Astyanax mexicanus: one gene and its partner. The protein of the gene in region 2 interacts with the protein of the main gene of each other region in a pairwise test. Links are inferred from orthologs where the notes say so. Each region holds a gene or a part of one and is shown on either strand. Other genes may lie near its edges. The genes, in order: mpp1 and aspartyl aminopeptidase.

What was found.
Region 1: the proteins of aspartyl aminopeptidase (region 2) and mpp1 interact in binary tests that used the Homo sapiens proteins (3 or more experiments, as listed by UniProt). The two-hybrid records come from large-scale screens. The link is inferred for Astyanax mexicanus from reciprocal best matches to the Homo sapiens genes DNPEP and MPP1.

What each region holds. Positions count from the first base shown.
Region 1 is NC_064424.1:19,032,146-19,044,435, reverse strand, and holds the start of mpp1 (55 kDa erythrocyte membrane protein), read left to right. Parts: upstream 1-6,917; 5' UTR 6,918-7,038; intron 7,039-7,286; 5' UTR 7,287-7,299; coding exon 7,300-7,422; intron 7,423-12,290. UniProt on the Homo sapiens protein: Essential regulator of neutrophil polarity. Regulates neutrophil polarization by regulating AKT1 phosphorylation through a mechanism that is independent of PIK3CG activity.
Region 2 is NC_064412.1:42,240,880-42,252,903, forward strand, and holds the start of aspartyl aminopeptidase, read left to right. Parts: upstream 1-7,093; 5' UTR 7,094-7,241; coding exon 7,242-7,247; intron 7,248-7,257; exon of another isoform or gene 7,258-7,428; intron 7,429-7,556; coding exon 7,557-7,647; intron 7,648-8,922; coding exon 8,923-9,011; intron 9,012-9,509; coding exon 9,510-9,623; intron 9,624-9,827; coding exon 9,828-9,953; intron 9,954-10,070; coding exon 10,071-10,195; intron 10,196-10,302; coding exon 10,303-10,387; intron 10,388-11,983; coding exon 11,984-12,024.

The DNA of each region.
Region 1 (12,290 bases), on a different chromosome or scaffold from region 2:
TGGATTGAGTGCACTGGGTTAAATGAAACACGTGTATGAGCATATGTAGGTTGCAACAATTGAAAATAACTTCTTAAAGAAAAGCATGTTGTGAAAGTTTTATATGCTTTTGCAACATTAGCTGTATCAGCGTGTCCTACTTAAAATCTTCTAAAGATCATGCTATAAAAAGCTACACCTATGCCAAAATGTCACTTCTTCTTTCTTCCTGAGTGTGTGGGTGTATGTTTCGATATGACTGGGTTTTGATAAGGTTGTTTTTGTGGTTAGGTTGCATTTAACATTGTATAACACTGTATAAGTCATTAAACTGCCTTATTGTGTGTACAGAACTCTGCTCATCCCATGTTTCTTTTAAAATCAAAGTGCTTAATCACTCCAGAGAACACAGTTCTACTGCTCCACGGCTCAGTACTGAGGGGCTTTTAACTGTTCTAGCTGAAGTTGGCATTGGACATGTTGACTTTAGGCTTATGTGCAGCTTTTACCAAGTCCCATTCTGTTGTGAACACGTCATACAAGCTGTGTGCACAGCTGTCCACAGCCAAGAGAAGGTTAGCAAGACTAAATGTTGGTTTTCAAAAACTAGAACACCAGTCACAGGTGTCCACTGTGGTCAGGATGTTATGTTTAATAGGCCTTAGTTACAGTGTGTGTGTGAGTGCAGGACGGAATTAGCATGTGGTCTATTTAGATACTGTATGCTTTCATTGCTTCCCTATAAAAAGTCTCTCAGACGCTACTTTTGGGTAGTGGACCTTTTTGTGAAAGATTATTGTCTGTTAGACATGCCTCTATGATTCACTTAAAAGCATTTTGCCAAGTTAACTGACTTATTTTAAAAAAGCCTAAATGGTTGGTTCTACCAACTGTCCACAATCAAAGCTAGCCTTTGTTTGCAGTGGTGCATGTATTTAGGAGGTGACTTTCAATCAGACGTAGGCCTGTCGCAATAACAAAATTTTCAGGGCGATATATTGTCCCAGAAATTATTATTACGATAAGCGATAATATTGTCATTTTAAAGCGCCACTATAGAAAATGCTTTTTTCCTGCTTCTGGGCTTTCCAAAGGAGCTTAAAGACAATGTGCCACAGTAAAAAATATATTAGCATAATAATACTATTACTCCATTTTAATATGAAAGTAACTTTTTATTATTAAGAACAGATATAGGGCTTCGAATATAAAAATATAATATCCTAAGTACATAAAACAAATATAGTACAACCACTCTGGGTTCTGAGAAAACAACACTAAATATTAAACAGACTTTTATAGATTAAAAATGTAACAACAAAATAGACTAAAGTAACATTTACATTAATATTTTTTTTCTGTCCATATATGTGTATGCTATAAAACTCAAATTGGCTCAAAAACACAAGTGTCCATCTAATCAAAGACACGGAAAGCTCAGCAGCTCATAGCTCTTTCTATAAATGTATTTTTAATGTAACTGTCAGACAGATCCAGAACAAGGAACACCAACTTGTTTACCGAGGCAGGATCTCTCTGGGGTACCAATATTCATATTAAATATTTAGCTTGGACAATTGGGCTGGATGGTTGTGCTTTAAATGAGATCTCAGCTTCGCTGCCACTGTTTTGAAACAAAGTAAACATACGGGCTTACTCGCGTTGATGGGTTCTCCTCATTCATTTGGCTTAAAGCCAAAATACTCTTACACCGGAGCTGTGGAACTGTAAAACAAAGTCAATCCAGTTGCAATTCATTCTCATGTAAACAAACCCCCACAGAAACACATGGGCTGTTATCGTCATCGGCAAAAATGATAATAAAAAATAAAAAATTATTGTATGATAAGTCAAGGTGTTATCCTTTTCTCCAGTCTGCTCGGAGGGCATGTCAACTATGTTTAAAAGCTGTGTTTATTATGCATGTGTGTTTATATAAATCTACATATATAAAGTTAAATTAATTATGACAAATAAACATAAACCCTGGAACAATTTATGTCCATTAAATACAGCAATAATGAGAGGCCCTCTTGAATATGTGTCATGTGGTCGGTATGTGTAAATGTGGTTCACAAAACTCATAAAATACAAATTCACAAATACATTATTGTATGCAAATACAAACCTGTTTAACTGAAACATAGTTTACCTACAATAAGTGAATGTTGACAATTCTGAAATCAGTAATTCCGAAATATAAAAATGAATATAATTCATAATAATGTATGCTGCTATATCTTTATATTTAAATAATGAATAATTCCATACATATAAATGTATGTAAAAAAGTTTGTATCTAACTTAAATTGTGTTATCAGAACACATCACTGCGTTACTACAGGCAATACATTAATTGCATAGGTTTTTTTTTATTTATTTATTAGTTTTTAGAAAAATAAAAGGGTTAGAGGGTTTTCCTTTGGTTTACTGCGGTTAGGGTGAGGGTTGAGGTTAGATGTCAGATCAGAGCATTTCTCAGTTACAGTAATAGGAGTCAATGGAAATACCCCACAAAGACAGGAAGACAGGAAGGTCTGCAAGTGCGTTTGCATGTGTGGCAGTGTGTGGGAGTCCCCATGTACTAATGACATGTCTTCAACTTTTGCACATATATTCAACTGGTATAATCTATTGCTCTTTAAGCTGTTCATTTTTCCACATTACATGACTTATTATATGAGTGCTACTTTAGGTAAAACTAAGGTTTTAGCTAATCTTTCTATCACTTTGCTGTTCAGAGGACAAAGCACATAAGCAGGAAAATTAAACACATACAGAGTTTGTTTTTTAAAAGAACGGCTTTTAACATTAATTTAATTAATTTAACTTTATTTACTAATAATAAAAAAGTGAATTGCTGTTATCTGTTCATAGAGTGATGACTAGAGCCATGGTTACAGACTGAAATTTCAATTTAAATGCAAATGATAAACCGTGAACCTCAAACAGTATTTATTTTACTGAATTATTAATTCAGCATAACCAAAACTATAAAACTATAGCTGTACAATTCCAACACCTCATTTTATATACACTTCTAAAATTAACATGTACCCAGTGCATTAGAAAGAGCCGTTCAAAGGCCTAATCAAAGATAAGACAAGTGCCTTTTCAGGTAAAAAAAGAAAGCAAGTGGGTGTTCATTTAATATTAAAAATATATGGATTGGTCCACTCAAAAATAATACAGCAGAAAAAGCATGAAATTGTTTTAAATTAAACTTTTGCGTGCTGTGTTTGTTGTTAGCAACTGGCGCTGACTGTTATGTGGTCTTTCACTTTGTTTAGGCTTCAGTTCAGATGCCTGTTCAGAAATATCTTGCAGTCAGCAGCAGCTTCACTGACCCGAGCTTTCGCCTCATTGGGCACCAGCTTTACACGCAGGTTGGTGATGAGAGCAATGAATCTCAACAATAATAATATAGTGCAATAAAAACGACTTTTGGATAATGTCTTGTTCTGCTAATAGACTAGGAGGGTTTGGGTTATCTAAAGTTTATATTATCTGCTGCCAAAAATATTTTTAATAAAATGACACCATCATAAGAAGTAAGTTACTTTCAGTAGAAAAAATAAATAATAATAAAATAAAAAATATAGTTTTTACTTCACACTTTTTTGTAAATATACAACAAAATTTACATGCCAATAATAATAATAATAATAAGAAGAAGAAGAATCAAATCTGTTGCTATATTATTTAAAATATTAGATGAAAACTTATCTAATATTTTTGTCATATATTTATATTATTCAGACATTACATGCATAATTGTTTCTAACAACAGTAAATGTAATGTGAAGTAACATGTTTAGGTTGTAAAGTGACCTTTAGTTGGATCTAATAATAACCAGAAGTACAGAAAAAAATGTGATTAATCGCTTCTACACCACTTACAGATGGGTGCTGTGAAGTTGTCATTGTGCCATCTCTACCAATCAGCAAAGATATTAAAAACTGTGTTGGACTCAAGCCCTCAGTTCTCCAGCATCAGCCTCATAGAACTTCCTCAGCTAGATGGGCCTAGTTGTCTCGTTGTGTTTTTTTGCCAGTGTTTGGTGTGTATTGTGAGTTACACACCAGCAGATGGCAGCAGATTTTCAGAAAAGAGACTCTAAAAACATTTGTTCTGTGAGGCACGTGGTTAGTTGCCATTCTGGTGCCCATTTGGTTCACAGCTTAGATGTACATTGGTCATACAGAACATGGAGTGTATCTATGTTGACCACTTCATGATATCATTAAATGGTAATGGTGCGTGTTACTATTTCACAGTAGATCTGTACTCCTAAATCTTATCCAATGGTGATGTATGTGCCTCAGACCTTTTAAAATATTTGGAACGTTCCTTGCAGCACTATGTCCTTCATTTAAACTCACAAAGTCCCTAACTAACATATACTCAACATCCTGAGCGGATTACATGGCAATGTGTGAATCTGTGTTCATTCATCTGACCTTATTTACCGAATGTAGGAGTGCTGGGTTAGTGCTGAGATAAAACTAGCTACTTTTAAAATGTATTATTAACTTCTACAGCTCTGTTACAACCATTTAACAGTTCAAATGCTTTAAATAGTATAGGCCTGATTTCTGGAACAAAATGTTCAAATACAAGTTATCAGGATTTAACCTTAAAGTATTTACATAAGAAAAAAAAAACAGGAATGAGCTGCTTACTGATTTTTATCTTACTCAGTTTTTAATTTGACATCAATATTGACAAATGGGTCTGGGCTCTTATTGGTTAAGGAAATGGCACTCAGTAAAAGCTGCACATCTTAAAGTCAACATGCCCAGTGCCAACTTCAGCTAGAAGGGGTTATTTTGAAAAGGGACAAAAAGCTCACAAGTTTGTTCTGCAATGGCAGTGTTTCTGACATTTTGACAGCATTCACAAATTCTGAATATGTGAATGCTGATGACATTTCAACTGCACACACAAAGGCGTACAACACAAATTGAAAACATTGGAGTTATAGATATTGTATGTGCACTATATTTACAGAGCTGTAGTGCCAAATACTATAAAATTATACTGATTTACAACATTATGATAATACTGTATCACTTTATAATGTTTATCTCTACGTAACATATCTAGGGTATGTAGGAAACTATAGTAATTGCAATACACACATTGTGTACAATTGAATAAAAAAAAACTGAAGTTGAAAATACCAGTCTAGCTCCACTAAGACTGCAACTTTTGAAAAAAAATAATTTATTTATGTAGTGTTTTATAATACTTCAATGATCAGCTATAATGTTTTCTCCTCTCTACAGCAATATATGGCACTTGTGTAGTATCCTGAAGTAAAGAAATATTGTAATTATGTAAATGTACTCCAGGTAATTTACAAGGATCCCTCTTGTAGTGTTGTAGTGGCACGTGCTTAAAATCTGCTTTTAAATTCTACTTTTTATATTTGTTCAAATGCACATATATTTATTTAGATTAAATAAATGACTAAAGATGAATAGATTTAATATTAAATTGTGTTGCACTGTATACGATTATTTAAAGCTGCCTCGCTTGTGTAATGAATGCTGCTCTAAGGCAGCTTTATAAAGCTGATTAACTCATTAATGCATGCTACCTTAATAAAATGCTATCAGTGAACCAGATGACGGCAGGCATTGGATGATCAATGGAAGCACTTCTAACAAGATAAGATTAACATTTTTGAATTGCTAGAAAATGCATTCTTTGTTAAGTGTCTGTTAGTGTTAATATTTGCGATTTATTGTTTGATTGAATACTGAATAGAATGTTCTAAAAAATAAAGAGAAATTTTTATTTACATAATTGAATCAGTATTTAGTTATTTAAATGTTTATTGTGTAAGCAATTTATATTTCAGAAACATCAATACAATTTTCTTCAAAACAATGCAAAACCAAATGCAGCACATATCTACTGACGTAGAGAGTAGAGATACTGGAGTGGCCTGCCTGCAGTTCCTAGCTGTCCCTAATAGTGAATGTGCAGAGTTTTGAAATTAAATGTATGTAGGACTGTTTGCAGGAAGAATGGGACAAACTAACACCAAAAAAGAATGGCAACATTGACAGGTGGTAAATGCTTTACCATTCCAGCTATTTGGGATATCTACTTGGAGGAACCACCTTGATTTTCATATCCCATAGCCAATATTGTATTGGATAAAAATAAAAGCTCTTGAGCCCATAATAAGCTATTCAAAGGGCTCTGACACACTAAAAATAAAAGTCTAGGCTTTTTAAACAGTGCAATGTATAATAAAGCGGTTGAATATCCTGATGTCAATGTGAAACACAATAAATGAATGCTATTGAAATGTATACTGTAAATGCCAATAAAAATTATTTTGAAGTTTGTGACATTTGGACAAAATGTTTGATACATAAAAATATATAAAAATATTTATTTGGTGGCAAAAAATAAGCAGTATTGAAAAAAACTTACTCTCTGCTGAAAAAATATATCAAACCACTATAAGCCCAAACTTCTGAGCCTGGTAGCTGGTTAGACCCTCTAAATCCCGCTTGTAGCAAGTAACGTACCCATATTTTAGGATTATTAAAGGAAGGTGATAAAAATACAACACGTCGTTGTGGACTTTTTGCCTACCCTTACAATGGCAAATGCCATGCTAGCTAACGCTATATTTTTTACAGTAATCTTGCAGATATTCGTATATTTGTTTTGACAGCACTGCACTGTTTGTTTTGGCCGCCATATTTGAACCCGTTAATGTTGACATTTCCACAGCGCTCGCGTTAGTTCTGTACAGGCTCATTGCAGAACTGGTTAATGTTGTTTAAGGTTAAGACTTGGACAGCTCTCTCAGAGGCTGTTGACATTTCCACCACTCTACCACTACACACACACTCTTACACACACTCGCTCACACACACACACACACACACACACACACACATTCGCTCAGTCTCAGCTTTAGCATTAGCCCCCTCCTCCCTCCGCTCCGTCATCATATCCACGTAACTGCTCCGCTCTGATGGAAGCTGCAGCGAACCCACCCCCAGGTTTCTCCTCCTCCAGAGCCTCCATACGTAAGTGTTTATGCGCTTTTGTCAGCTGGTTCTCCACAGCAGTAACAGCAGTAGAAGCAGCAGGAGCTCCATCGCCCTGAACTTCGGACTTCGAGCAGGAGCTGAACTTTTATCTCACACTTTATCTCCAGCTTCCTTATCGCTCTTTTTTCCGCCCTCAAGACTCCCCTCTCTCTCTCTCTCTCTATCTCCCCATCTGACCAGAGGTTATTTTTTAACCTCTATCCCCCACCAACCTTTTTTTGCAGCGACTCTGTAGATATGACGTTAAAGTGCAGTAAGAACGAGCCTGCCGTCACTCTGGAGCGGGTGAGCAGCGTCCGCACGGCTCTCTCGGACCTCTACCTGGAGCAGCTGCTGCAGAACAAGCCCAAGGCTGACAAGGTGAGTAACCTAGCTAGCTGAGAGCCCTGTACTGAACCCAGTTCAGTACTGTCCTCAGTGCTCTTCCATTTTCCCCTCTTTCCCTTCATCCCTTCCTCTTCCTCTTTTCCCTTTCTCTCGGTAGCTTTCAGGTCTCCTCCTCGTGTATCGTGACTGTATTCGTTTGGTCTTTGCTGGCCTGCGGTGTAGGCAGATGTGGTGGTGCTGGTTCAGACCGGCGCAGCCCGGTTTGTGTTCAGCATCATCATCATCATCACCAACATCAACAACATCACCCCCAGCCTCAGGCTGCTTCAACTTCAGCCAATTCACAGCACAGATCAGCTGGAGCTGCTAGTAGCTGCACTGCTGTAGACCCCAAAATCCATCTAGCACTGACTGTAGACAGTATAAAAAATATATGTACTATAAAAAAAGATGCAGAGCTTTCAGACCTCAATAGAGTTCAGAAATCAATATTTGGTGCAATAACCCTTTTTTAATCACAGTTTTTATGCATCTTGGCATGTTCTCCTCCACCAGTCTTACACACTGTTTTTGGATAACTTTATGCCAATCCTGGTGCAAAAAGGCAGTTCAGCTCGGTATGATGGCTCGTGATCACCCATCTTCCTCTTGATTATATTCCAGAGGTTTTCAGTTTGGTCAAATCAAAGAAACTCATCATTTTTAAGTTGTCTCAATTTTTTTTTTCCAAAAAAACAAAAGTGCTCAAGCTGTTCTGGAGTTTTTGAAGGGATGCCATAAAAGAACCAATTTTGGTTTATATATGATATATATATATATGAAAATATAAGATATTTAGTTCACAATGGTTCTTTAAACCCCTTAAGAAGTGTTTCTTCAAGGACTCTAGATAAATGCTAAGTGGTCTTCAAATGAGACCATATAGAGCTGGTCAAAATGGTAAAAAAAAATTAATGATATTTAAATTTTAAATTAATATTATTTTTTTATTTTTCATGATACGTGGTTTCATGATATTTATCGCAATATTTAGACTCACAGACTGAGGTCAGTGTTTTTTGTTCAAAATATGCAATTAATCTAATCAAACAGGACTTATTACACTCGCTGTGATTAAATGTACAGTTGAATTAGTGTTCTTGAATTAGTGTTCTTCATTTATCACAGTGCACTAAATAATTGTAGGGCTGTAACTAATTGTTAAATTGGTAGATACCTAATCTGATGGTTATTTTTCTGATTGGTTGTTGATTAGTCAACAGTTATTTCTGCCATGCCCCCATCACTTTAAAATGAAATAAACATCTGAAAGTGGGACTTAAGTTCCCTGTAAATGCATAAAAGATGTTTAAATGTGGAATATGGGTTTTTAGAGAGTAAATATGTAATCTGTTGTGTGTGGACACTTTTGGAGACAGACCAGGTTGTAATTGTAAACTATGTGAATGAGCCTATGAACTCTTTTTTCCATTGTGTTTTATTCCCTAACACTCTGTGTAGAGCACTGGTGTCACAAATTAACTATTTATAGAGTTGACAATTTTCATAGTTGACATTGTCGGTTACATCTTGGCAGTTCTAAAATATCATCATACTGCCCACCGTTTCTTAGGAGAAGCACTTTTGGTTTCTATATAAATATTTCAGTGGATGTTTCTTAGCCCTTAGAAGACTCCTCTTAAAGAACAACCCTAGAAATGCTTGGTTCCATAGAAAAAAAGAAAAACATTGGATTCCATAACAAACCATGTTTGTGTAAAGTACTTTTAAATTGGTAAAATTCTTGAAACTATTATAAGTTTTTTTTTTCATACATATTTTTCTCACATATTTTATAACAACATGGTTCTTCTGTGGCATTTGTCATAGATCCCATTGTACCATTTATCACAAATATAAATGGTATTAAAGAGGTTTAATACATCTTTACAAATTAGCTTTTTAGACCTCTTTTTAGACTAGAGTCTCTTTTAGACTAACTAGAGCACTAGTTAACTAGTTTTACTGTGGATCAAGTTGGGGGATCAAGACCCAGGTTTGCTGCACTGCCACTGTTGGGCCCCTGAGAAAGGCCCTTGAGCATGTGTGTTTGCTCAATGGTGAATAACACACTGTGTGTGTATTCATTGCACAGAGGGGTTAAAGGCATAAGTCAAATTCCATCTGCGTCCAACATAAAGGGTTGACTTTGTCTTCGTTTTAAAACAAAAAGGGTCTTTTATAGTGTTAAAAGGGGGTTCTTTGACTAGTTAATATGGTGGAATCCTCTAGGGTGCTATATAGAGTTTTAATGGTTCTCCTGGTGTATTGTGTGTATATATAAACAACACTTTTAACCTATAAAATTGCTTCTCTTACACACAAATCTCTGGTCTTTTTCATCACAGAAATACATCAGAGTATTGATTAATTGATTGATTATTTTGCTCTGTTCTCATGTAACACGTGACATGACTCAACTCCAGTCATTATTGGAAGCCCAGTTTATAAAAGCAGGCTCATCACTGACTAATGTATTAGCACAAAAAACACTGTGATGTAATCAAACAGACAAAGAGCCATCTTCTGAGACACACTAGCTGAGAACATCTACGTAAAAGGAACACATGCTCTGTTAATCGTTAATCTTACAAGTGCTGTTCTTTGGTTGACGTTGTTATGAGCCTAATGCAGTTTTTCTCTGATTAGCCTGACAGATTGAAACCCACCCATTGGGTCGTTAATGTATACAAGGGTCTAGAGATAATGTTCTTTGAAAGGATCCGAAACCGTTCTAGGTGTGAATGTGTAGCTGGGGGAAGGGTTAACGAACAAGACCAATCTGCCCTCTATTGTGTCATCAGGAGGGTCTTTATAAGCCAACTGGAGCTTTATTGTCTCTTCAGGAGAAGGTTGAGACTTTAAGAAGCAACCATATTAGACTGACTTGCATTAGAGTGGCTTTTGTGGACAGATTGTTTCGTAAAGACTTTGGTCATAAGCACAAGCTACTGCTGAGTTAATCTGCTCGGTCAACAGCGGAGGCTTCGTGTTCATAACAGGTCAAAGACCTGCAGTAAAACTTGTGGTATGTAGGAACACGCAAAACAAAAGGATTAAATCTGACTTTACACATATGAGTCATCTGGGTCCAAGAAATGTGACACGTGAACTGGTACCTTGAGGTCCATTATGATAAATGGAAGGATAAAGCCAATGTAAAAAAAGAAAAAATATATGTATATATTTTCTTCAAAATCATCAGATTATGGGGCATGTGGTCCTGTCATGATAACCCAATTTCGTGGACAATATATTGTCTCAGAAATTATTTCGATAAACGATATTATTGTCATTTTTAGACTATTAAATGCCCTTGATATAATGATAATGAAATAGCACAACAAAGCATTCATATAATTTTAAAGACAACAGTCCTGCACTGTGTGTATGGAGTCACCGTTATTGAAGCATTGGTCTTTGCATTGGACTGTTATATATTTTTTACTATATTTTTTACTAAATATGCTGTATTTTGGTTTTGATTAAATAAACACTGATATTTTAGCATTGTAGTGTTATTAAGATTTTCGTCATATCATATCTAATAATATAGTGTCATTTCTTTCACGCGTACCGAGATATGAGTGTTTTAGTTCGATTAAAAATCACCCAGCCCTTGGCTGTGCTATTGATTATATTAGCAAGTAACAGATATAATGCTCATTTTGAGACTTTCAGTTATTCACAAAAATGTCACTAAAAATATAGATTTACTGGATAGTGGGTCAGTTTAGGATTTAAACATATAATTAAACATAGTTTTGTGCCACCTGCATTATCAATTTTCATTTAATTTCCAGTCATATATAAGTCATGTACACTTATTAAAGAAAACACATTTTATTTCAACTTCTGTCAAGTTCCTACTGGTAAAGGATTCATTTTCTGTAGTAAAAGAGGTATTTGAGTAATAATAACATCATTTTAAGTTTTTTTTTTTTTTAATAAAAAGATAATCATTAATCGTGGCACCCCTACTTGTAATAGTATCAAATGTAGTTTTTTCACATTCTTAGCAGCGTAAAGTGACGAAATGTTTTTTACAGCACTAATTGAGGCTATAAAAATGTGCGGTGGCATCCCACACCTGTGAGAAGATGCTGACTTAAGGAATAAATGCACGCTAGGGACACACTTGCTCTGGACTGCAGCAGAACACTTTAGCTGCAGTGCGAAAATGCTGGGCATAGTCCATTACTATCTGAAATTGCTTCTGTCCTGACTCTCTGTCCTTATCTCGTCTCTTCTTACCAGCGGGCGTTTGAAGCTATTTATGACCGGGTATACTTTTATCTAGATGTTCCATCAAAGAGCACATTTTATTAATGTTTCAAAAGCACAAAAGGGTCAGTAGAGGTGGGCAATTACTTCTATGATTCATTTCAAATGATACGTATGCGGCACTGTTGATTGAGGAATATGAAAACCCTGTACACCTGTGGCAATGGAATGTCCCATACATCTGGCATCCACTATCAGGCTTTCACCTCTTCTTGCCTTGAGTCCACTGGCAAGTATTCAGTATCTCTCACATAATAACACCTTACAACTTATACTGTATTTTTCGCACTATAAGGCGCACCAGATTATAAGGTGCGTTTTAAGAGACACTAAGTTAAGGAGTAGCTAACTAAGTTAAGTAAAGCTAAGCTAAGTAAACAAAACTGTAAGTCAAACGAGTGCTGTATGTTAATATACACAGATTTCTCTCCTGAAAATTTGGTTGAGTGAAGCGCATCTGTTTATTTACAGTAAGCTTAGATTCCCGAAATTCTCCAGCACTAAGGCTGGAGCATTGGCATTAGCGGCTAATGCAATCTGACAGCACTACACTGAGGAACCCTAAATGTTCCGGTAAC
Region 2 (12,024 bases):
TCTCTCTGTAAATCTCATCCAGGGTGATCATATGTGGGTTTCTGTGTTTCCCTGTAGATTTCTTTCATTGTAGTACTGTCAGAATGCTGTTCTAAAGCAGAGGCGGAAAGAATTTTGTGCAACAAAATATATGCATCAGAAACATCACTAGATATATCATCATACAGCCCATTAGTGAACAAGTGTAGGCTGATATTACATATCTGATTAAATAAACAGATACGTATAAAGGTTTTGGAGCTTCTGTGTGTTTAATCAGGTCTTAAAGCTACTGGCATTAATGATCAAATAAGGGAGATCTGATACTTGGAGCAGTGGTCTATTTATATGCTGACTGGTTTAACACTCAGGAATTCCAGCATTACAAAAGCTTCTCTGGAAACCTTCAACCAGACGGAGATCAGAGCTGACGGAGGATGTAAACTCTCGCTCGTGCTCTCTCTCTCTCTCTCTCTCTCTCTCTCTCTCTTTCGCCTCCCTCTTTCCTCTACTTCCACCTCTCTCCACTCCGCACTATATAAGGTATAAGGTGTTGATGTTTAACTGCAGCAGATATGGAGGAGGACTTCGTGAGAGACAAGGTGGGCTTGCCAAAAGATTTCAATGTTAAATGAATTAACAAACAGATGGGAACAACTTACTGGATACGTTTACTACAAACCTAAAGCAGAGACAGTATGAAAATCACAAATTAAATAAAGACTAATGTTTTTTTTTTTTCATTTGAGTTTTTTTACTGCAGGTAATATAAACCCAATATGTTTTTTTTTTTTTATCTGCTTAACTTCATTTCATTTATTAATATACATATCGTCGCTGTCCAATGAAAAACACTTATCTCCAAAACAAAGCAAATTTAGAGGACAGAGAAAAAACCTTGTAAACTTTCAATGGAAAAAGAGTTTATTTCAGGTCATTTTGAAGAATTTCTATTGGTACGTTCATCAAGAAATTTAGCTACAATTTAAGTAATCTTGATAGTAATCTTGACTTGACTACAAAATAAGACAAGAAAACAACCAAACTTTATGTTATTAAAGCATGTTTACTAATACCTGAAGTCAGATTTTTTTTAAATCTTCATTGCTTTCACAATCTAGATTCCACTCGCATTTTTGGAACTGTTTTCACAGACAGTGATTTTTAAAAGTGTTCCTGAACCCATGCAGTTATTTAGTTTAGTGATTACAGTACAAAATCAGTACAGCCAGATTTTATAATGCAGTGCCACCTGAGGGCCTGAAGATCTTTTATATCCAATACAGACTGTTGGCCTTGTCCCTTAAACACAATGATTTCCCCAGATTCTTCTGATCTGATCTTTTGATAATATGGGCTGTTGATGATGAGATATCTAAAGTCTTTGCAACTGTTGAGGGGCAATTTTTAGCAGATTGGTGAAGCTCTGCCCATCTTTGCTTCTAAGAGAATTGCTTTTTGAAATACCTACCCACTGTGCAAAAGGACACTGGGCCAGATCCGTTTTGAATTGTGCCGGATCTGGGCCAGATCCTTTTTGCTATCTGGGTAGTAATGTGAGGTAGTGTAAATTGCTCCTATTGCAGCTCTTTTTATTTAGGATTTATTCAATAGAAGATACTATAATAGAAAAATATAAGATAATAGAAGAACTTTTCTAGTCTTTTGTTGCCCCCTCCCAACTTTTTTGAGATGTTCCAAATAAGTTGATATTTTTCATAAAGTAGTAAAATGTCTCACTTTCAATATCTGATATGTGCACCATGTTCCTTTGTGAATAAAATGTGTATCTACTGGATCATTGCATTCTGTTTTTATTCATATTTATTTACACTTCACACAGCATACTTTTTTGAAATTGGGGTTGAAGATCTACTGACTGGACTCATTGTCATGTTCATGAAAAGTGTTTTGAAACTATTTTTGATTTATGTTATAATGCACCATAATGCTGGAATAGCACAACAACTTACAAACAAAAATCAACACTCTATGTGCCAAATTAACACTGGAAAATGTACTGTGTATCTGTGAAATGTTCAAATCATTCTCAGAAACATGTCACAGCAAATGTCAACATGTACTAAAATAACAAAATGCAATGTAACATTCTGTACACGTCCAGAGTCCATGTGCACAGGGTGGACCATCTCCCAGACAACCCAGGAAGGTTTTCATGTTCCAGGAAGCAATGTTAATTACAGTCTGACCTTTTGCTACTTGATAACATTATTCATCAGAAAGCACTCTCACTAAGCGAGAAAAATATCACTGATTTCAGTGACAGGTCTATGTTCTGTTCTATTGTAAATTTATTTTTTCCATCATAAGTGAAGAAAGATTATTCTAAATAAAGCATTTTGAAATGCTTTGAGTGGTCCAGCGGACTATGGACCTGCCACTTTGATCAGGAGATCGCTGTTTCTAATCCCATTCACATAGCTCCCATCAGCTGCTGGAGCCCCGAGAGAGTACACAATTGGGCTTGCTCTCTCTGGGTGGGTAGATGGCGCTTTTTCCCCTCATCACTCATAGGCTGATGTTGATCAGCACAGGGCGTCTGTGAGCTGATGTATCAGTTTAAAAAGAGGCGGAGTCTGACTTCACATGTGTTAAAGGAGGCATGTGCTAATGAGTTGGTTGGGCATTTGGCCTTGTAAATTGGGGAGTAAATGCAATAAAAATTAGGGGGGGGAAAGGAAACATACCAAATGTCAGGCGAGGACTAGAGGGGTAAAAAGCCACCAGAACTGAGCTGTGAAGAAGTGGAATTGTGCAATCAAATCCTCAAGCAATGCAACCAAATCAAGCATCAATCCAAGTCTCTCTGGACAGTAGAGACAGTTACTCCAACAAAAGAAGAATAAACTCTTTTTTTAATACCCTTAATTTCAGAAGAAACAATGAAAGAGTACTTTTGTCCATACAATATATGAATATATGAAATCACACAGTCCCTACAAAATTCTCTCAAGCTTAAGTAAATTAGGAAATACGTGTCTTTAAAGATCTCAGTCCTGTTGACTGTGTGATGTGTGTTGGGGGGTGGGAGATGGGGTTACACTGGTAAGGCGAGTGGGGTGAGTGAGTCCAGCTCATGCTAATATTGTACTGGAACCAGGCAACAGTGCAAACACACACATACACATCCCACTATGTAAATGTGATGCCTATTATTGTTTTGCCACAGCAGAGAATTATAATGATCCTTCTTACAGTAATGTTACATCAGAAATTTTCAGAATACTGTGTCTTTTGTCCCTCACAACTAAAGAAAAACATTTTTTTTTATTTACCATATTTATAAGACTACAGACTATTTCCCAGCCTAATCACTTTTAATTTTCACTTTTTATTATCTATCATGCATGCATGAACTCATTAATCTTCATTGATGTTCAATAGACTCAGAAGTCTAAAGAAACATTTTGTCTATCGATTTAAAGGTCTCCTTCTGGGAAAGCAACGCGGCCAGGGGAGAGCGGCACCGCGGCATTTATACCGTGCTATATCTTTATAACTAAGGCTGTATCTCTGAAAACATTTTGTCCTTTGAGTTTTACAGCTGTACATTTGACTGTGGGGGAACGCAGGTAGATGCTCTGCTGCAGTGCTGTTATCCAATCAGAGGCGATATGTTTGCATGTATGAATATTTATGAGCAAGTGCCATAACCAGCCAAGACCAGTAATTTAATTATCTAAAGCAGGGCTATACAGAAAAACCAGCGCACTTTTTTTGCACAAAAAACAGCTCACATGACATTCATTCATATTAGAGATCACAACTAGACATTTTAAAAGGATTGAAAAATGACGGAATGAGACCTTTAAAGGAAGATGCAGGAGATCCTTAATCATCCAGCAAGATAATGATCCACAACACACTGCCTGGAAAAACATCACAGAAAAGAATGCACAAGTTTAGTGATGTCAGTGGCTCACAGGCTAGATGCAGTTATTGCAAGCTGTTCCAATACTTTTGCTCACGAAATGGGTGGGTTCAGGCATAAGGTGTTATCTTCTGAACTGTGTAACAGATTCAAATGTGAATATTTGTGAAATAGATGTGAAATAAAAGCTGAAATATTAATCTTTTATCTCATATTCAATATATAATATTAAACGCACATGGTTTTAATCTACAGCAGAAATAAAGGGATTGTTTCAATACTGTATATCCACCATCTCCAAAGAAGAAGAACTGTGTAACACATACATGCCTTACCGAGACATCTCGGTACTGGAGCTCTAGTAACAGCTCCTCTCCTCTGGAATGCAGTGGATATAATGTAGTGGGTTGTAATTAGACAGTGATTGCATTTCATTTTGGCACAAATTCCTGGCTGCTCCTAGATGAAATGCAATCCTGTGCATTGTAATTTACTTTTGAACATTTGCAGCGCCACACAGTGGAATACAATGCAGTTGAGCTGATTGCATTTTGAGGAGGTTGTGTGCAATTTTGACATGAATTTAGCTTTTGGTTTTGAAATAGTAAATTATTGTATGCTGTTTTTACAAGTGTACATACGTGCTTTAGACAGACAGACAGACCGATCGATAGATACTTTATTTACTGCGCTGGAACATCAGTTCACTATAGCATTAGCTTAAAGCTAGCATTTTTCTAATTACGACTCTTAAACGATCTTGAAATTCAGAGGATCCAGTTAAGTTCAGGAGGAAAATGTACACAGAATAAAACGTACAGGGGTCTGAACATATTCATTTACCACAGAATGTGATAGAGCTGGGTTTTTGAAATGCCCATTCATTTTTCACATAGGGAAAAAATGCTTAGACATGGAAGCCATACGAGGACTACAGAATGGCACACGACTTCAGTGGTCTATTTTTTTTTTTTCCTGGGTACACAGTTTTTATTAAATATGGATTTACAAACATATTGCTACATTTTCACATTTTCATCTACAATGTCCACATATTCATTTTTAATATTATGTAATCTAGGTGTCGTGTGGAAGGTGACCTGTGTAGACTTCTTACAGTCCGATATCCCACAATGCACCTCGCAGCAGTATCAGAGGTGGAGAAAGTAGGTACCAGTAGATTATAGACCACTGAAGTCGTGCGTCATTCTGTAGTGCTCGTACGGCTTCCGTGTCTAAGCGTTTTTTCCCTATGAGAAAAATGAACAGGGTTTTTAATAACCCTTCCTATCACATTCTGAGGTAAATAAATCTGTTTAGATTCTGTGTACATTTTACTCCTAAACATCACTGGATCCTCTGAATCATGAGATTGTTTAAGAGTCGTAATGAGAAAAATTCTAACTTTAAGCTAATGCTACAGCGGAGTGAACTGAACTCCCAGCCTAACTGCAGAGATCAGCCCGGGACTATTTTTGGCGCAACACCAGCAAACTTTGGCTGTAACAATACAGCGTACTAAACACAGTTGAGCCAACTAATGAACTAACTGCGTTGAGGAGAGCTGAGAGTGTCACAGCGTTAAATCACTAAAACAGGACAGTGATACTCCAGAACCAGCTGTAACACATTTTAACATTTACCCTCTTTATTATGCAGTGAAATAAATGGGTGTTTCTGGTTCATTGTTGCCTCAGTGAGGACAGGTAGTTAGTTGATTAGTTGATTAGTTAGTTGTTAGTTGATTATTTGGGTCAGGTTTTGTAATTAGTATAAACTAATGACCGTCATTAAATACTAAACCCTTCGGTGAAAGCACTGCTGAACTGAGAGCCACTTTCTCTTATTATCTGCCTTTTAAAGCTCTAACACAGACTACACTGCTCAACATTGCACTGCTCAACATTACTGAAAGAGTTTTCACCTGTTTAAATGCTTTAATGATCCTCTGTGAGGAAGAATAATAATCCAAAACGTGATCTGACAGGAGTTAGCTGGTGTTATGCAGAATCCAGTCCAGTGTCATTTCCAGCCGCTGTGCTGTGACGTCAGTTATGCATTAGCTTAAAGTTAGCATTTTTCTAATTACTACCCCTAAACGATCTCGTAATTCAGAGGATCCAGTGATGTTTAGGAGGTAAATGTACACAGAATAAAACGTACAGGGTTCTGAACATATTTATTTACCACAGAATGTGACAGAGGCCAGTTTTTGAAGAGCCCATTCAAATTCGCCATTTACATGGACCGCTTAGACACGGAACCCCAAATATGGGCATGAACAACATGGCGCCGACTACAAAATGATGACACGACTTCAGTGGTCTGTTATATGTTTTTGAAATAGTACGAAAAGCTTTATAACACTGAATCAACTGGTTTAGCTGCTCCGAAAGGCTTAAAACTCACAAACTAGTCAGTGTTAGTAATTAGTCTTCAGTGGGAACTCACCCATACAGTACTGTAGATCAGGGGTGTCCAAACTTTTTTTGTTGGGGGCCAGATAGAGAAATATATTTGAAGTCACGGGCCACACTCTGTAATAAAACAAATAATGAAATATACCAATTTAAATAATACTTTTTTCCTGATTATTTCATTTACACACCATTTTACTTGACTTACTGTCTTTATCTTTGACAGTGTTCTGTAAATTAAGATTTTTCAAATTGATGTTTAATTTCATGATGTCTCTTAATATTAAACTCCTTAATTACGGCAACGTTTAGACTCTTTTTAGAAATGCGCACTCTCTCCGCTTTTAGACTCTTTGGCCCGTTTTTCTGCGCTAGAAATGCGCACCCTCTCCGCTTTTAGACTCTTCACCCCGTTTTTTCTGCGCTAGAAGTGCGCACCCTCTCCGCTTTTAGACTCTTTGGCCCGTTTTTATGCGCTACAAATGCGCACCCTCTCCGCTTTTAGACTCTTCACCCCGTTTTTTATGCGCTACAAATGCGCACCCTCTCCGCTTTTAGACTCTTTGGCCCGTTTTTATGCGCTACAAATGCGCACCCTCTCCGCTTTTTATACTCTTCACCCCGTTTTTTATGCGCAAGAAGTGCGCTCCCTCTCCGCTTTTACACTCTTTGGCCCGTTTTTATGCGCTACAAATGCGCACCCTCTCCGCTTTTAGACTCCGCTTTTCTATTTCTAAAATACCTCGCGGGCCGCTCCAAAAAAGGAAACGGGCCGCAGATGGCCCGCGGGCCGTAGTTTGGACACCCTTGCTGTAGATCATTTAGTTTACCGTTGCTGTAACACAGCCTCCGGACACTAGAGGGCGGTAGGTGAGCGCTGCTCCGGCGCTTGATGCTGAGCTGTGTGTTTCTGTGGGGGGGAGACAGGACTGAGGGAGGACTGAGCTTTATTAATGCAGGTGAGCTGTGAGAGAGAGCTATAAAACTCCTGTCAGATAAAATGCCGGGCTTTAGCGGCTTCTGAAGGACTGCAGTTTAACTCCACTAGGCTCAGCTAAAATAAGATAAGCTAAGCTAACTCTGTGTGTGCCTTACTGTCAGCAGCAGCAGCTCCTGGTGTGTAACCCCGGCTGATTTCCCGTCAGTAATCTCAGTGAGCTCTCTCTACACTGAGCTCAGTGTCTCAGTAAACAGGAATTCAGACGGGCTGTTAGAGAGAGTGTTAATCTGCCTGTGGTTCTGATCTCTCTGTGTTCTCTGATTCTCAGTCCTTCATCATGAAATCCTCTAAGGAAGCTGTTCATGCCGCCGCCAAGGAGTTCCTGGGTTTTGTGAATCGTGGAGTTTCGCCGTATCACGGTAGGAAGAACAGCTAACTACATATTCGCGTCTTTCCCCACCTAAATCACACCGGTATCAGCTAGAAATACTAACTCAGTTATTGCTAGTAAATCTATAATTCCACATCTCTTTAATTGTGGTTTATATGGGTATAAACCCTCAGATCTCAGTTATAATATGTACGATACCACTGGTTTGCTCTGAACTGAAGTGTTGATTTGATAAAGCAGATAAAAGAGTGTAACTGTGTTTAAAGGAGAGCATTTCTCAGTTTTTGCCACTGAACTCTTTAGTTACTCACTCTCCTGCTGACTTTCTTTGCATAAAAAATATATTTTTGCATTGCACCTTTTACTGTTTGATGGAAAAACAACCTTTAAACAACGTTTATTTAACATTGTCTAACAAGCATCGCTTAGTGTTGAAATTCTGACATTATATCAACCTTTATTTAAAGGTTTTGAAAGATTCGGGCTCTGAATCTACACTCTACAATCTGCTTTTAGACAAAGTGTGCCTGTAATAATTATGTTAAGAATAATTAATATAATGTATATCATTATTATTTTAAATGCCCTCCTTTACACTGCAAAACACAGTAAAACTAAAAGAATATAATGCAAACAACACCTATCTATTTAATGTAAGTTTATAAGTATATTCTTATGTTGAAGATCGACATTGTTTAAATTCATTAGACATGAAAAAGTGTTTTGTCAACATACTTTTGCAATTTGTGTCTTATCTATAATTATTTAATTCATTAGTAAATCTCCTGTTACACTGCATATGTCTGACACGCACCTTACTACTAGTGAAAACTACATATCTTTAATAAGAATTTACATTCGTCACTATGTTTGTTCAGACTATATATACTTATATAGTATACTATATACTATATAGACTTTTTACTAGTCAGAATTACGTTTGAAGATATCAGGAACTATAATTGCTACTGGTAATAAAGTAATTATATTTTAGGTTAGTGTATTTACAAACTTCAAAAGTTGGATTTAATAAAAAAAAGTTGTTGATTACTGCCCTCACATACAGCCTGTATATTTATATATTTGCATAAGGTATTTGTATTTCTTTTCTTATTCCCATTATTATTGTTGTAAAGCTATAAGACAGTTTCACAAGTTTACCATTGCACTTTGCCCTGAAATAATAATTAGTGTTCTGTATTGAATTTCTATTCATTAAAGGATCCACTTTGTGTTTTCTCTCATTGTATCTCTCTGTTTTATTTCTTTGGTCATAATTCTTGTGCATCTTTCTGTTTTGCAGTGGTGGAAGAGTGCAAATCACGTCTTTTAAAAGCTGGCTTCACAGAGCTGAAGGAGTCTGAGCATTGGGACATCAAACCATCTAACAAGGTGTGCATATGTGTGTCTGGTTATGTGTTTGTGCGTATGCAGTGGCAGGTTTGGAACATGTTTCGGCTGACAACCGCTGTAGCATACTGGCAAACCTGATATTGCATATTCACATTAAGTGCTTAGAGTTTTTCTGTCAGTGTGTGGCTCTGGTTTATGCTGTGCTTTATGCTATGTTTTGAAACTGTAAAATCTAGGTGTCTATCTTAATGTTAGCTAATATAATGCACCTTTCTCTCATCTCGTCTATTACTGTCTTTCTCTTGTATCGGTCTTTTGAGTCTTTTTTTGTGATTTATTGCGTGCGTGTGCTCGTGTGTGTGTGTGTGGTTGGTTTCATTAAAGCTATTCCTTGAAGGTATCCATATATATTTTGTGTGGTTGAGACATATCTTCAGACAGAGGTTTCCTTTTGAGCCTGGCATGGTTTTGCAGATGTTCTCACACGTTATTTTCTGTACTGATTTATTTATTTTATTTTTTGTATGTTTCCTATAGTACTTTGTGACCCGGAACTACTCCACCATCATCGCTTTTGCAGTGGGTGGCTTGTACAAACCGGGCAATGGATTTTCCATGATTGGAGCCCATACAGACAGCCCATGCCTGAGGGTGAGAATAGGCACTGTGAATATGAAATAATATATATAAAAAAAATTGTTTTATCTAGTCCCTGAACTGAAACACTTCCCATATTGTGTAGAATAAAAACGTTGAATTATTTTCAGCAATCCTAGTTGCAGATGTTTGTATAATTCAACTTTATTTGTTGTTGTAGCTGCTAAAATGTGTTGTTTCATATGTTTGTACGAGTAGGTGAAGCCTCGCTCTAAGAAGACGAGGTTGGGCTGTCTGCAGGTCGGTGTGGAGTGTTACGGCGGTGGAATCTGGAACACCTGGTTTGACCGGGATCTGACTGTTGCGGGTCGTGTCATGGTCAAGGTACACGGTCTGATTAGATAAACCACAGTAGTTCAATCTGCATGGCTCACCAGTGCATTTTAACATAAATGCTTACACGTCATATTTTCTCTCTGTCTGTCTGTCTGTCTGTTTTAGAGTGGAGATAAGCTGCTGCATCGCCTGGTGCATGTCCAACGGCCCATCCTCAGGATTCCTCACCTGGCCATTCACCTGCAGAGAGACATTAACGACTCCTTCGGCCCAAACAAGGAGAACCACCTGTAAGTCTCTCAGAGCATCAGTGGAAGTAGGGCTAGAGAGAGAATAATTTATAGACTATTAGAATCTGATTTGTGTGCGTGTGTGTGTGTGTGTGTGTGTGTTTTAGAGTGCCTTTCCTTGCCACTGCAGTTCAGGAAGAGTTGGAGACTGGCTCAGCTGCTTCTGGTGATGCGTGTAATGCAGCAACCACAGTAAGAATTTTTTAAAGGATAGTAAATTCAGTTTAGAGTAGAACAGGTTATGACAACTCTTGTTGATATATTTCCCTTTAAATGCTAGAAATACATATTTTGTTTCAAATGTTTATGTAAACAACCAGATGTGTTTTAATTGTAGCCGTTCACATAGCCTATGTGCTCCCTGTGTTACCAGAGGCTTCCACTAGAGTTCTCTTATTGCCACAGTGGCATGAACACATCATACAGATGCATTTAGCTTTTCTGCAAAACTCTCCATCAGACCGATGCTGCAGAGTGCTGCACAGCAAGTACATCTCTAGTCTGAGATTCACATATATGTATCACCGTATCATGGAACCAGTGATGTAATAATTTAGAAACACACTTGACCATCTTGCCCAGCAGTTTAACCTGTCGGTAGCAGTATACACACACACACATATAATACAAATACATATGTACTAGTGAACAGGACATTGGGAACATACACTACATGCAGTACCAGACAGCCACCCAAGCATCCAGGCTGTATCTGGGTTCCTTTCTTAAAGATAAGTTTATTGTGAATGTTAGGGTAGCCACCTCTGTGCTCCCTCAGTTTCAGGCAGTTTTCATATACAGCTCTGAAAAAAAATAAGAGACCACTTCAGTTTCTTTTATAGGTTTATGTTTGAGTAAAATGAACGTTGTTTTATTGTCCCAAATTCCAAATTAAACAAAGACATCTAGAGCATTTATTTGCAGAAAATGAGAAATGGCTAAAAAAACAAAAAAGATGCAGAGTAATCAGATTTCAAATAATGCAATGAAAACAAGTTCACATTCATAAAGTTTTAGGAGTTCAGAAATCAATATTTGGTGGAATAACCCTGGTTTTTAATCACAGCTTTCATGCATCTTGGCATGTTCTCCTCCACCAGTCTTACTTTCTGCTTTTGGATATCTTGATGCCAGTCCTGTTGCAAAAATTCAAGCAGTTCAGTTTGGTTTGATGGCTTGGTTTCCTCTTGATTATATTTCAGAGGTTTTTAATTTGGTAAAATCAAGGCAACCCATTATTTTTAAGTGGTCTCTTATTATTTTTTTTTTTTTTTTTTTTTTTACCAGGGCTGTATATTTTCATATAATCCAGCACTGTGGGCAGCTGCATGCCAGTTGCTCGGAAAAACCTGCAGAGGCAAGTTACTTTGCAGGTTTGGAACCACAGGACTAAGACTATTTTTGCACAGATTTTTATTTTATTTACTGAGAAAGAAACAAAACTTCAGTGTTTTATTTGTTATGTTTTGTTTAAAAGAGTTAGTGAAGTAATGTTTTAGTCATGCTCATGTCTTTCACACATGGTGAGGTATAATACAGTTTATTAATTCCACAGTTGTATCGGATCAGTACGTTTATCTATCAATATTGGAACTGAGAAAGACTGATTGCTGCATGCCTCAGGAGTATTATCAGGAATGCCCTGTGTCAGTTATACTGTTTCATTGCATGGCATCTTTAATATAGATCACAGCAACCTATTTTAAAGTATTTTTTTGTTCTATGTCTTTTGTTATAATGGATCATTTGTTAGTGTTTGTGTGTGTGACCTGTCATTTCACTCCTCAGCCAGAGAAGCACCACCCGGCTCTGATCCGGCTGCTGTGTGG